Linked DNA regions of Rattus norvegicus. The protein of the gene in region 3 purifies or fractionates together with the protein of the main gene of each other region. This does not show direct contact. Links are inferred from orthologs where the notes say so. Each region holds a gene or a part of one and is shown on either strand. Other genes may lie near its edges.

Evidence for each region.
Region 1: the proteins of Otud1 (region 3) and Keap1 purify together in Homo sapiens (affinity purification with western blotting; 3 studies listed by BioGRID, with this or other methods). This does not show direct contact. The link is inferred for Rattus norvegicus from reciprocal best matches to the Homo sapiens genes OTUD1 and KEAP1.
Region 2: the proteins of Otud1 (region 3) and Flnc purify together in Homo sapiens (affinity purification with mass spectrometry; 3 studies listed by BioGRID and IntAct, with this or other methods). This does not show direct contact. The link is inferred for Rattus norvegicus from reciprocal best matches to the Homo sapiens genes OTUD1 and FLNC.

The regions. Positions count from the first base shown.
Region 1 is NC_086026.1:28,047,549-28,051,042, forward strand, and holds part of Keap1 (kelch-like ECH-associated protein 1), read right to left. Parts: intron 1,405-3,494; coding exon of another isoform or gene 1,393-1,404; coding exon 719-1,392; intron 1-718. UniProt on the Homo sapiens protein: Substrate-specific adapter of a BCR (BTB-CUL3-RBX1) E3 ubiquitin ligase complex that regulates the response to oxidative stress by targeting NFE2L2/NRF2 for ubiquitination.
Region 2 is NC_086022.1:59,016,547-59,020,046, reverse strand, and holds part of Flnc (filamin-C), read right to left. Parts: intron 3,090-3,500; coding exon 2,933-3,089; intron 2,853-2,932; coding exon 2,663-2,852; intron 2,492-2,662; coding exon 2,468-2,491; intron 2,357-2,467; coding exon 2,109-2,356; intron 1,583-2,108; coding exon 1,484-1,582; intron 1,182-1,483; coding exon 1,082-1,181; intron 767-1,081; coding exon 626-766; intron 356-625; coding exon 227-355; intron 139-226; coding exon 1-138.
Region 3 is NC_086035.1:87,167,007-87,171,047, reverse strand, and holds the start of Otud1 (OTU domain-containing protein 1), read right to left. Parts: upstream 2,801-4,041; 5' UTR 2,470-2,800; coding exon 1,102-2,469; 3' UTR 1-1,101. UniProt on the Homo sapiens protein: Deubiquitinating enzyme that specifically hydrolyzes 'Lys-63'-linked polyubiquitin to monoubiquitin.

The sequences.
Region 1 (3,494 bases), on a different chromosome or scaffold from region 3:
ACCACAAACATTAGAGGCCCCTAGGGCATTTGTTTAAAAGTCCATTTTCAGGCTATGGATGGGGTTAGCCCGGGGGCGGGAGGGGGGGGGGTAAATGGCTGGCCTGGCATGCACAAAGTCCTAGGTTCTATTCCCAGCACTACAAACACAAAATTTAAACTTTTCTCATTTTCTTACCCTTGCTCCAAGCCCTAAATTTATGTGTTGGGGGGAGGGGGTACAGGGAGAAGGGGGTTGTCTGTTTTGAGACAGGGTCTCATATCCCAGGCTGGCCTTGAACTTGCCATACAGCCAAAGAGAATCTTGACTCCCGATCCTGCTCCCTCGACCTCCCAAGGGCTGGGATGAGAGCTGGTGTCCACTACCACACCCCAGCTGAGTCACACCCCACGCCTGTGCCTTCCTTTTTCTCCCTCTCCTTATGGCAGTGTTGGGGATGAGACCTTAAACCCTGGATTCAAGAAAGAGACCAGGGCACTACCACTTAACTACATCCCTGTTCAGATGATACATTTTAACTAATTATAAACAGCACAACATAATTCACATACTATAGTAACTCCTGCTGTCCTCAGTGTGCTGTGACTCCTATAGGTTTAGGAAGCCCCTTCCAGGATTTCCCAACTCTGGACACTGAGGACAAACATCCCAGCCGCTCAACCTCACGTGGAGGCAGGGACAAGAACACGTACTGTCCCTTAGGGCCTCCGGTGCTCACCTCTCCACGCTGCTGTGGTGGATGCAGCCGTGGGAACCCCCGACTGCGTAGATGTGGCCATCTATGACCCCCACCCCGATGCGGTTGCGCGGCACGCTCATAGAGGCACAGGGCGACCACTGGTTGGTCATGGGGTTGTAGCAGTCCAGGGCGCTGGAATCAGTGTTGCCGTCCGGCGAGTTGTTGCGGCCGCCCACAGCATACAGCAGCCCGCCCACCACGCAGCCCGCCAGCCCACTGCGGGGCACCTGTAGGTCTGCCAGGCGCAGCCAGGAGCCATTGCTCGGGTTGTAGGCCTCCAGGTAGCTGAGCGACTGTCGGAAGTAACCGCCCGCAGTGTAGATGAGGCGGCCCACTTTGGGCGCCCGGCAGGGCACCGCTTGTGTGGGCTTGTGCAGCGTGAGCTCCTGGAAGATCTGCACCAGGTAGTCCTTGCAGCGCGCGTCGGCCTGCAGGATCTCGCACTTTTGCAGCTGTGTCTGCAGGAAGCGTGGCGTGAGAGCGTGGCAGCGCACGGCCCGTAGCAGTGCCTGCACGTAGAAGCGCCGCTGCGGGCAGTCGTATTTGACCCAGTCGATGCACGCATGGAACACCTCGGACTCGCAGCGCACGTTCAGATCATCGCGGCTGATGAGCGTGGCCAGCTGGCAGTGTGACAGGTTGAAGAACTCCTCCTGCTTGGCCACCTGCAGGGAGCTCAGGTGAGAAGGAAGCCCTCCTGGCCGAGCACCCATACACTGGCATCACACGGGCCACACAGTGTGGTATCTTTAGGCGCCTGTATTGATTTTGGTTTTAATTTTTAAAAAAAAAAATATAGCTAGGTGTAGTGGCACACTCCTATAATCCCCTATCCCACGGAAGGCAGAGGAACAAGGGTGTCTGAATTCAAGGCCAGATTGGTCTACATAAGCCAGTTCTAGATCAGGTAGGACAACATAATAAGATCCTGTCTCAAAATAAACAAATAATTGAACCTAGTCTGGCTTTAATCCCAGCATTGGACTAATGGCCACTTGGAAGGGAGAGGCAGGAGATGTCTGTGAGCTCCAGGCCACTTGTTCTACATAGTAAGACCCTCTCTTAAAAAAGGACTTTAAATTACATTTAATTACATTTAAATTACATTTATTGGTTTATTGGGTATGTATGGGAGGTGTGCGACAGCTCATGTCTGACGGGTAGGATCTCGCCTTCCACCTTGTGGTCCCTGGGATTGGTCTTCTGGCTTGGCAGTGAGTGCCCTCACCAGCTCCCAAAGGCACTGGGTTTGTTTGTTTCCTTGTTTTGTTTGTTTAACCCCCTCAGGAATCATATGCTGGAAGGAATCAACTTGTGCAAGTAGTATTCTGACCTCCGCATGAACTGTGGCACATACATTGCCCCCGAAATAAACACAATCAAAATTTTAGATTAATAAAATAAAATATAAAATGATAGGGAGCCTTACGGCTTGGCAGAGATGAGGAGACAACTCGGGAATGAGAGTATGGTATAAACTTCAAGTGAGCCACCAAGGTCCGTGTCGATTCTCGGCACCAGGGAACCTGACACACAAGAATCTTGGGTTTCAGACAAAAGCCTGGGCTATGACAACCTGCTGTCTCAAAAATCTAAATGAATAAACAAAATACATTCATGCTGATTCATACTGACCTTACACAGCCTGAAGGCTGTGCGTGTGTGTGTGTATCTGACCTGGAACTTGTTACGCGGAGCAGACTGGCCTCCAACTCACAGCTCTGCCTGCCTTTGCCTACCCAGTGCTGGGACTAACGGTGTGCGTAGCCACACTTGGTTTATGTGAGGTGTGGATGGAACCCAGGGCTTCGCACAGGCTGGGGAAGGGTTCTACCAGTCCAGGAGCACATCGGCCCTCCAAAGATTTATGCACTAGGCTTGATGTGCCCGCCACCCATCTTGTGAGGTCAGGTGTGGAACTGTCCACTTGAGAACGACAGATGGTGTTCAAAAGCTTTTGAAGCATTTCAGACTTGGGGTTTGGGTTGGTGATATTCAGAATGCAGTCATGTCCAGGGGACCTTTCTAGTCACTGCCACCCAGAGCCAAGGCTGCTGTTGACTGGCTTTCCCTAAGAACTGCCCTATTACTTTCCCTTGAGGACTTCCTGTATTCAGAAACGAAAATGAAAGCAATACCATGTGAACCCAGGAAAAGCCAAGCAAAGCTGGAGACTGCATGTGTGAGGTTGGTGGGTACCATTGACTGCCTGTTCAATCGCACTCCGAGGGTTTCTCTGTGTAGCCCTGGCTGTCTTGGGACTCCCTCTGTAGATCAGGCTATCCTTGAACTCTTGAACTCAGAGATCTACCTGCCTCTGCCTTCTGAGTGCTGGGATTAAAGGTGTACACCAATATGTTTGCACATATACACCCACACACCCCACTTTTTTTAGACAGGGTCTCACTGTATAGCCCAGGCTGGCCATCACTATTTTTAACACCAAAGAGACCAGGCTGCTGAGGCACTAGGAGGGCATGTCCTCACCTGATGCTCTCTGCATTTGGATTAGGGGCTCAGAAGCTGAGTTTTCAGTCCAGCAATGTGGCTTTGAGGGTAAAGGCATTTTCTGCCAGGCCCTATGATCTGAGTTTAACCTAGAAACATACATAAGGTAGCAAGAGAGAGCCAGTTCCTGCTATTTGTTCTCTGATTTCCACACAAGATCAGTGCATGCATATACACACAAATATATATATATATATATATATATATATATATATATGTATTTTTTTTAGGACTTAAAAAACAAAAA
Region 2 (3,500 bases), on a different chromosome or scaffold from region 3:
GCTTGTCGTCAAAGCGCACAATGATGCTGTAGTCTCCAGGTGCTGTGGGTAGGTAGGACACGGTACAGGTGCCATCTTTGTTGTCCTTGCAGGTGATCTCCGCCTTGGATGGGCCCTCCACAGCCAGTGACAGCCCCCCTGTAAGCGAAAGTGGCTGAGATCAGAATCTATCCCTGTGCCTACAAACCTGGCAAGTCCCCTCACCTCTTTCGGCAGTTCTCCTCACCTTCCCCAGCGTCTTTGGTGACAATTGTGAAGGTGGCAGGCTTGTTGACCATGCCATGGCTCAGACCTGGCCCATAGGCACTGACATGCCCGCTGTTGATGGCATCCACATAGAACTGCAGAGGGCTCCCTGGGTAGTGACAGGTGGAGCTGGATTAGCATAGGGACAGGGGCTTCCCACAGCCATGTTGGCCCCCAGCATCTTCAACAGCTTTGGATTTTGGAGCCCCGTGCCTCTGCTACATGGACTTAGAAGCCCATTACCATCAAGAAACACATTTCCCAGAACCTTCTTTGGTGCCTGTACATGGCAGTGCTTACATATGTATTTAAAGGAGGCTGGCAGGACCAACATGGTGTTGGCTCCTCTTACCGTGGTCTCACCCTGCTCCCAACTCACCAGGGATATGGTTGCCATCGTACTTGATTCCCATCTGGTGCAGGCCTTTCTCTGTAGGTGCGTATCTCACTGTGATGGTACCGTCCTTGTTGTCAGTGATGTTGGGACGTGCTGTTTTACCAGAGGGCATCCGGACCTCCCCTGAAAGGCAGACATACTTACATGTAGGTAGGACACTAGTTTCTCCCAACACATGTCCCTGATGTCCCAGGGCCTGTTCTCAAGTGGCTCTGCTTTCCCCAGAGGCCAGACACTGGGAAGCAGCCCATTCAGGAATAGAAGGACTAGGAGACAGAAGGCTTGAACTTGAGTTCTCATTCTGCCCAACTTGTGAGACGCAACCTAATTTGTTTCCCCTCTCTGGGCCCTAGGTCTCATCCCTGCAATGATCTTAGCTGAAAGGCCAGGAAGCGTTCTCAGTTCTCAACAGAGTCTCACGTGTGGTGCACCCATTACCTGTCAGCTCCCCTTTCTGCACAGTGAATGGGATGACCAAGTTGAAAGGCCTCAGCATGGACTCCAAAGGCTCCACAGGAACCACGGGCTCCTCTGTGGCCTGTAGCAGGTGAGAGGAAAGAGAAGGCTGTAGTCGGTGGAGAACGCCGGGGAGTGTGGCCTGCCTCAAGACTGAAGTCAGAGAGAACGAAGAAAGAACAAGGTTAATAGTGAGACACCAATGGCAGAAGATGCGTCAGCTGCAGGAGAAGGGGTGCCATACTCAGATTTGGGCTCCCTCTGCCCATCCTAATGCCTGCATTCCCCAAGAGGCCCAACCATGGCCCAAGCCTGCAGAACAGAAGGAAGAATGAAGAAAGTAGGGAGAAGGATGACGAGGCCTGTCGTGGGAAGCTCTAGTACCCAGTGTGTGGGGCAGGTGCCAGGCCGAAGTGGGGCATATGGCTGGTGCAGCTGCAGCACTTCCGCAGGCTCCTCCACATGAGGCAGCGGGTCACATGCCTGGGGAATAAGGCACAGGGTGTACAATGTGGGGGGACCTAGATCTCAGAACCAACTCTCAGAATGGCCTAGGACTCAAGTCCTGGGTGGGTATCTCAGGTGTTCTATCCTTGTCCTGCAGGGCCACCCCTGTAGAAACAAGAGCTAAGGACAGTGGCCCAAAGGTCAGAAAAGAACACAGTGAGCTCCTTCAGAGAGGGATGATACCTCTCTGGTCAAAAGCAGAGCTGCACCACCTCCCTGCACATTGGAAGGCTACAGGAAATACAAAGGCTCATTCTAGAGTACTCTGGCTCCAGGATCTGTTTATCAGACATGGGGACAAGTTCTCTGACTCCTTGAGGACAGCTCCTAGGATCCCTTGCAGCTACTGAGAGGCATATTCTGAGTCCTTGAGGACAGCTCCTAGGATCCCTTGCAGCGACTAAGAGGTATATTCTCTGATTCCTTGAGGACAGCTCCTAGGATCCCTTGCAGCTACTAAGAGGCATATTCTGCATAACATGCACCATGGCCATGAGCTTACCAGCACATGGAAGGGGCTGTTGGGAATGTGTTCACCCCCAAAGCGGATGGTGATGACATATTTGCCCGGCTCAGGTGCTGTGTAGTAGATATCAAAGGTACCATCGTGGTTCTCAACTACATCCACATCGAGCTCTGCCCCGTCAGGTGTGGATACTGTGCAGGTCACCTTCCCCTTGCCTGCTGCCTTGGCATCCACTGTAATCACAGTCTCCTCTCCAATCTGGATTCTGGGACCCAGGCAGGCACCTACCACATGAAAAAGCCAGATCAGGGGCTGTGGAGGCCATGTCCAGCTCCCCCTTTCCCGGCTGCTCCCACAGCCTCCAGCCCTTAGTAAAGAAAGAAAAAGTTACTCACCCAGTCCATGGCCTCCAATGGATACTGGAAATAGAGAAGAAAGTTAGGTCATTAAGGTTCAAGATGACCTAGAGGTGGTGGGAGCTGGGCTGGGCAAAGAGTATAGACTTTTTGCCAGCATGGCCCCAGGACTGGGCTGGGAGACTGAATGCACTCTAAGGGGCTGACGAGAAGGGACTCAGAGTTGGTACTCACCTGTAACAAGGCACTTGCTGGCATCCCCTGTAGGCAGGGCGTGGATACGGAAGGGTGAGTAAGGGATCTCATCGCCGCCATACTTGATGGTGATGGTGTACCGACCACTCATGTCTGGCAGGTAGGACACGGTGTATGTGCCATCCCCATTGTCTCGGATGTTGGCCTTCTTGGGTTTACCCTCGGGATCCTAGAGGAGAAGGAGAGGTCAGGCCTACCTATGTCCACAGAGGGCATATATGCTGGGCAGGGGGCTGTGCCTAGACTTACCAGGATCTGGACTGTGAGAAGCCCCTCACCAGCATCACGAGCATCAATGGTGAACTCCACGGGCAGGCTGGCGGGGATGCCGGAGGCATTGAGGCCAGGGCCACTGGCCCGCACTTTGCTGGCATCGTGGGCCGGAAGCACTTTGATCTTGAAAGGGCTTGAGAAACAGAAGGAGCGGACAGTTGTCAGGGAGTTGGAGCTTGAGATATGTGAGCCTTCCCACATGGGCAGAAGGAGTGACTCTGCAGGGCAGCCCTGAAGGCCTGCTTCCCAGGACATCTTGAATCTTGGAGAAGGGTCACTGAAGGACCCATGGAACATAGATAGTGTTTTCTCCAAAGGAAGATGCTGTTAATTGTTTAAAGAGTCTGCACACTTTCTGTGGCTCTTTTCCTTGATGCTTATCTGGTGCTGAAGCTAGTGGGGTGATATTACCTTCTGGGTAGGGAACCTTGGAGTGGGGTAGGATGGGGTAGTCCCTGAAGGAGGTTTAGACAAATAAGGGGGGGGGGGACTCTGCCCAAGTCCTGGCCTTGAAGGTTAGGCCCTAGGAGAAGCTCTAGCTCAG
Region 3 (4,041 bases):
GTACAAATACATTATTGTACAAAAAAATCACAAAATGTTACAAAATAAAAAAGTACAAACTGCATTACTTAATAAATACACTAAAAGTAGTTAAAGTGGCAACATATAGGAGTTTTTTTGGTTGGAAACACTGTTTGACCCAGCAAACCATACAACTGTTTACATTTTTACATAATACAAAGTCAATTCTATTTTGCCTTTTGGAAGAACTTTAAAATGACAGAATATTAAGACAATAGCCTCCTGCTAAAAATAGTGGTTGAAACCAAGAAGCTGTATAATGCAGGAGGCTGAACTTCTCACAAAATTTCATAAACGCCTTTCCAAAGTTGATGAATAAAAAGAACACAGTCAAGACCACCAGACAATCTACTCCATAAACAGCAGAAGACAGAATCATCATTCTGCCATCCGCGGATAGCAGACTTCTATTCAAGTAAGGCCTGGTACTGTCTTTTTTAAAAAAAAAAAAAAAATCGTCCCAAAGCTATCCCTTCCTTAACTGTCTTCAAAGCGGACCTTTTCTAAAAAAATAACTCTCCCAAACAAATCGGTCTGTTTCATCAAAATGGAATGGGCTAATCATCTGGTAACATAATGTGTCAAATATCCAGTTGAAATAATTAAGAATTGTGAAACATTTCAACAATAAACTAACTACTAAATCACAAACTCAAATAAACTTCATAGAAAGCACTTCTCTGGATTATGCTTAAAAGCCGTTTCTCGCAATTGGAACACGTCATAGATGAAAGTACACCCATTTTTAAAAATGTGCAAAAATACAATTTTATAGAAAATAGACTACCAGGAATGAACAAATTCATACCGTGAGACATAAGCTTGCAAATTAAGTAGCGCTCACTTTATACAGCAAATTATAAATAGCAGTAGGCTCACCCAAAGCTATCAGGAAACATCATTCAGGTGCCCAGCAACCTGCGGCTCTCAGAGGACATTCAAAAACTGATTAAGGCATTACCCCTAAAGCCAGTCTACTAGGAAATTGAAAAGTGCCATTACCCTAGTTAGAGTTCGTGTGGTTCTCCCAACACAACTGATGCACGCCATTTCCCCCGGCTTGTCAGATCCTCGGACTTTTCAAGAGCATGCATTCTGTTCGATATACATTTTGGACAGGGATATGGCCATGGACTTGGCAAGTTCTTCGTCGCGTTTTCTCTGCATTTGGGTTTGCTTGCACCAATTGTCATACTCTGGGTTAGGGTAGGAGTGGTCAAACACTGCATCATAGTGTCCATTGCTGAGCCAACTAAGCCAAATACTAGGCCTTAGAGAATCCTCTGGACCCAGATAGTGAACCATGGTAGACACGGTGGGGCTCTCCAGCCTCCCTCCAGTAGTTAAGTGTATATTCACATTCAGCATCTGCCCCATGGCCAGCAATTCGGGGTATCCGGCCCACGCCCCATCCTGGGCAGCAGCGATAATAAACTCCCCCACGTCGCCCTCAATGAGGGGGCTGAAGTGGTCGAGGTGGTCCGCGATGTAGTGCACGGTCTGCTCCCTCAGCTCCCGGTGCAGGCTCTGGTCCCCGTACACAGTCTTGCTGACAGCTCGGTAAAGGCAGTTACCGTCAGGGATGATGTGGAATCGGTACTTGTTCCTCTGTCTCAGGTACTTGTCCTGCCTCTCCACCTCGGCCAGGTACAGGGCTAGCTTCTCATCCCTGGGATCCGCCCGGGGCGCGCCTACAGCTTCGCCTTCACCGTTCTGGGTCGGATCGCCGCTGCTCCGTGCGGGTGCGGGTGCGGGTGCGGGTACGGGGTGAACCTCAATTTCGGGATCCGGCCGTCGGTGCGCGTCAGCCCCGGAGGCGTCGCTGCGACCGCTCGCCCGGTCCCAACCTCGGGGACTGCGCTCCGTCCGGCGCTCCTCACTCCACGGGCCGGCCCCGGGCTCCGGGCCGACGGGGGCCGGTGCAGGGGCTCGGTGCTGGGCGGCCGCCAGGGCCTGGCGATGCTCGCTCAGTCGGAAGTTCCTGTCGGGCGCGTCGCGGGCGGCGTTCGGGGCCGCGGGCTCGTCGGGCCGGAGCAGCTCTTCCAGCAGCCAGGCGGACGAGCCGCGACGCGGAGGCGCGGGAGCCGAGGGTGGCGGCAACAGGAGGCGCTCGGCGCCCAGGGCCCGCACGGCGATGTGCGCCGTAGACGTGAAGTGCGGCGGCAGCGGCGGCTTGCAGCACGCGCCGGGTGGGGCGGCGGCGGTGGCTGACCCGGACCGCTCGAAGCAGGCAGAGAAGGCGGGCATGGCGGCGGCGGCGGCGGCTTCGCGTGGTTCGGTAGCCGCGGCGGGTGGGCGCTCTCCGGTATCCGGCTCCGGAGCGGCGGCGGCGGGGCCCGCTGACTGCAAGGAGACCTTGAAGGCGGCGGTGGTGGCAGGCGGGGCGGCGGCCGTGGGGCCCGGCGTGCCCGCAGGGTAGTGGGTGCACACGCTGCTGTAGAGCTGCATGGCCGTGGCCGCCCGCGGCCCCTTATAGCTGCGAGCCCGGCTTGGAGACACACCCTCGGGCGCAGTGCCCCGGAGCCCGAGAATAGCGCTGAGCTCAGCGCCGCGGGCCGCCGCGTCAGGAGCCGCGAATAGCGCCCGGGCCGCGACCCAATTCGTACTGCGCCACAGCGCGCGGGCGGTCCGAGGGCACCGGAGGGCGCGCGCTCGGCCCGGGACAGGGGCGCAGGACGCTGCGGCAGCTGTGCCCCGCGCCGGCCGCTGGGGACGGTTGGAGAAGCTGCCCGCTCAGCCGAGCGCCGCCCGCCCGCAAGCAGGAGTGCAGCGCGCGGATGAGAGGAGGCGGGGCCGCGCTTGTTTACCTCAGGCCGCGCGGCCGCGTCACATGGTCCCCCAGGAATGCGCGCCCCATTCAAGCGGGGCCGCCCCGCCCCTCGGCGGCGGCCTCATGGGCGTGGCCGGAGAGGGCGAGGCGGGGGCTGGGCTACAGACATGCGCATTGAGTGCGCTGTCAACCTGACTACCGTTGCTGGCTGCGGGGTACCTAGGAAGCAGGTCTGTGGGCTGTGCCGCTGTCCTGCTGTGTGACGCAGCGGCGGGACCGGCTTAGCCGGGGCAAAAGACTAGGTTGGAATAACGCGTTTCTAAAACAAAGTGCGTACTAGGGACGGAGCTCTGCCTTGAATCTTGCAGGGCCAGTGGCATTCAGCAACTTCTTGAATCGGTTCTTCAGATGAAGGAGTTTGGGTCTGGTCTTCACGATCTTGCTGCCCGGCTAAGCAAAAATGCATGGGCGAAAGGAAGGCTCTCAGGCAGCCTTCCTCGGAACACCAAATGACATGCAGCTTAAAGCCTTTTGAAAGTAGATCGCGAGTGCTAAACTTTGAGGCAAGAGGAGGCACACCACCTATATTCTGGAACAACTCAACGAAATGAGACAACAGACTGACCTGTGCTTCCTTTGCAAAGGAAAGCCAGAGTGTTACCAAACTGGTACCTACTTGCAGTAACAGTAGCGTTTACATTATTCTGAGATTCAATCCAATATTAAATTTAATTTCCAGATATATAGATTGGATTGGAGGTGACTTCTTGGTATGGAAAAACAGCCTGCAGGTTGTGCTACATGCATTACACCATTCCACTGGAATGTAATTTCTACTTGTTACTAGGGTCTCTCTCATTGGGGATTCTTAGACTCCTTAATCAAAACATTTTGAACGGCTCAAAAGGAACCTTGGGGACAATTTTACTAATGTTTGAGAGGGTAGGTAATCTGCTAATCTTGGCAGTTGGCCAGAGAAGGGAGGAGAAATTTTAAAAAGCCATGCCCTTTTAAGTTAGGACTGGAAAAGGCAGGTCAGCAAGTCCAGCAACGGAGTTTGGCCAGCTGTTGCACTGGTAAGGGATGGTGTAAACCACCAGGCTAGAATAGGTGTATTCTAAACAAGACATTTGTGCTTTCCTCTTATTTAGCCCATTGGAAAAAAAGTGAACACACACACACACACACACACACACACACACACACACACACACTCACACACGCCCGCACAGGAATTTCCCCCCAGAGAA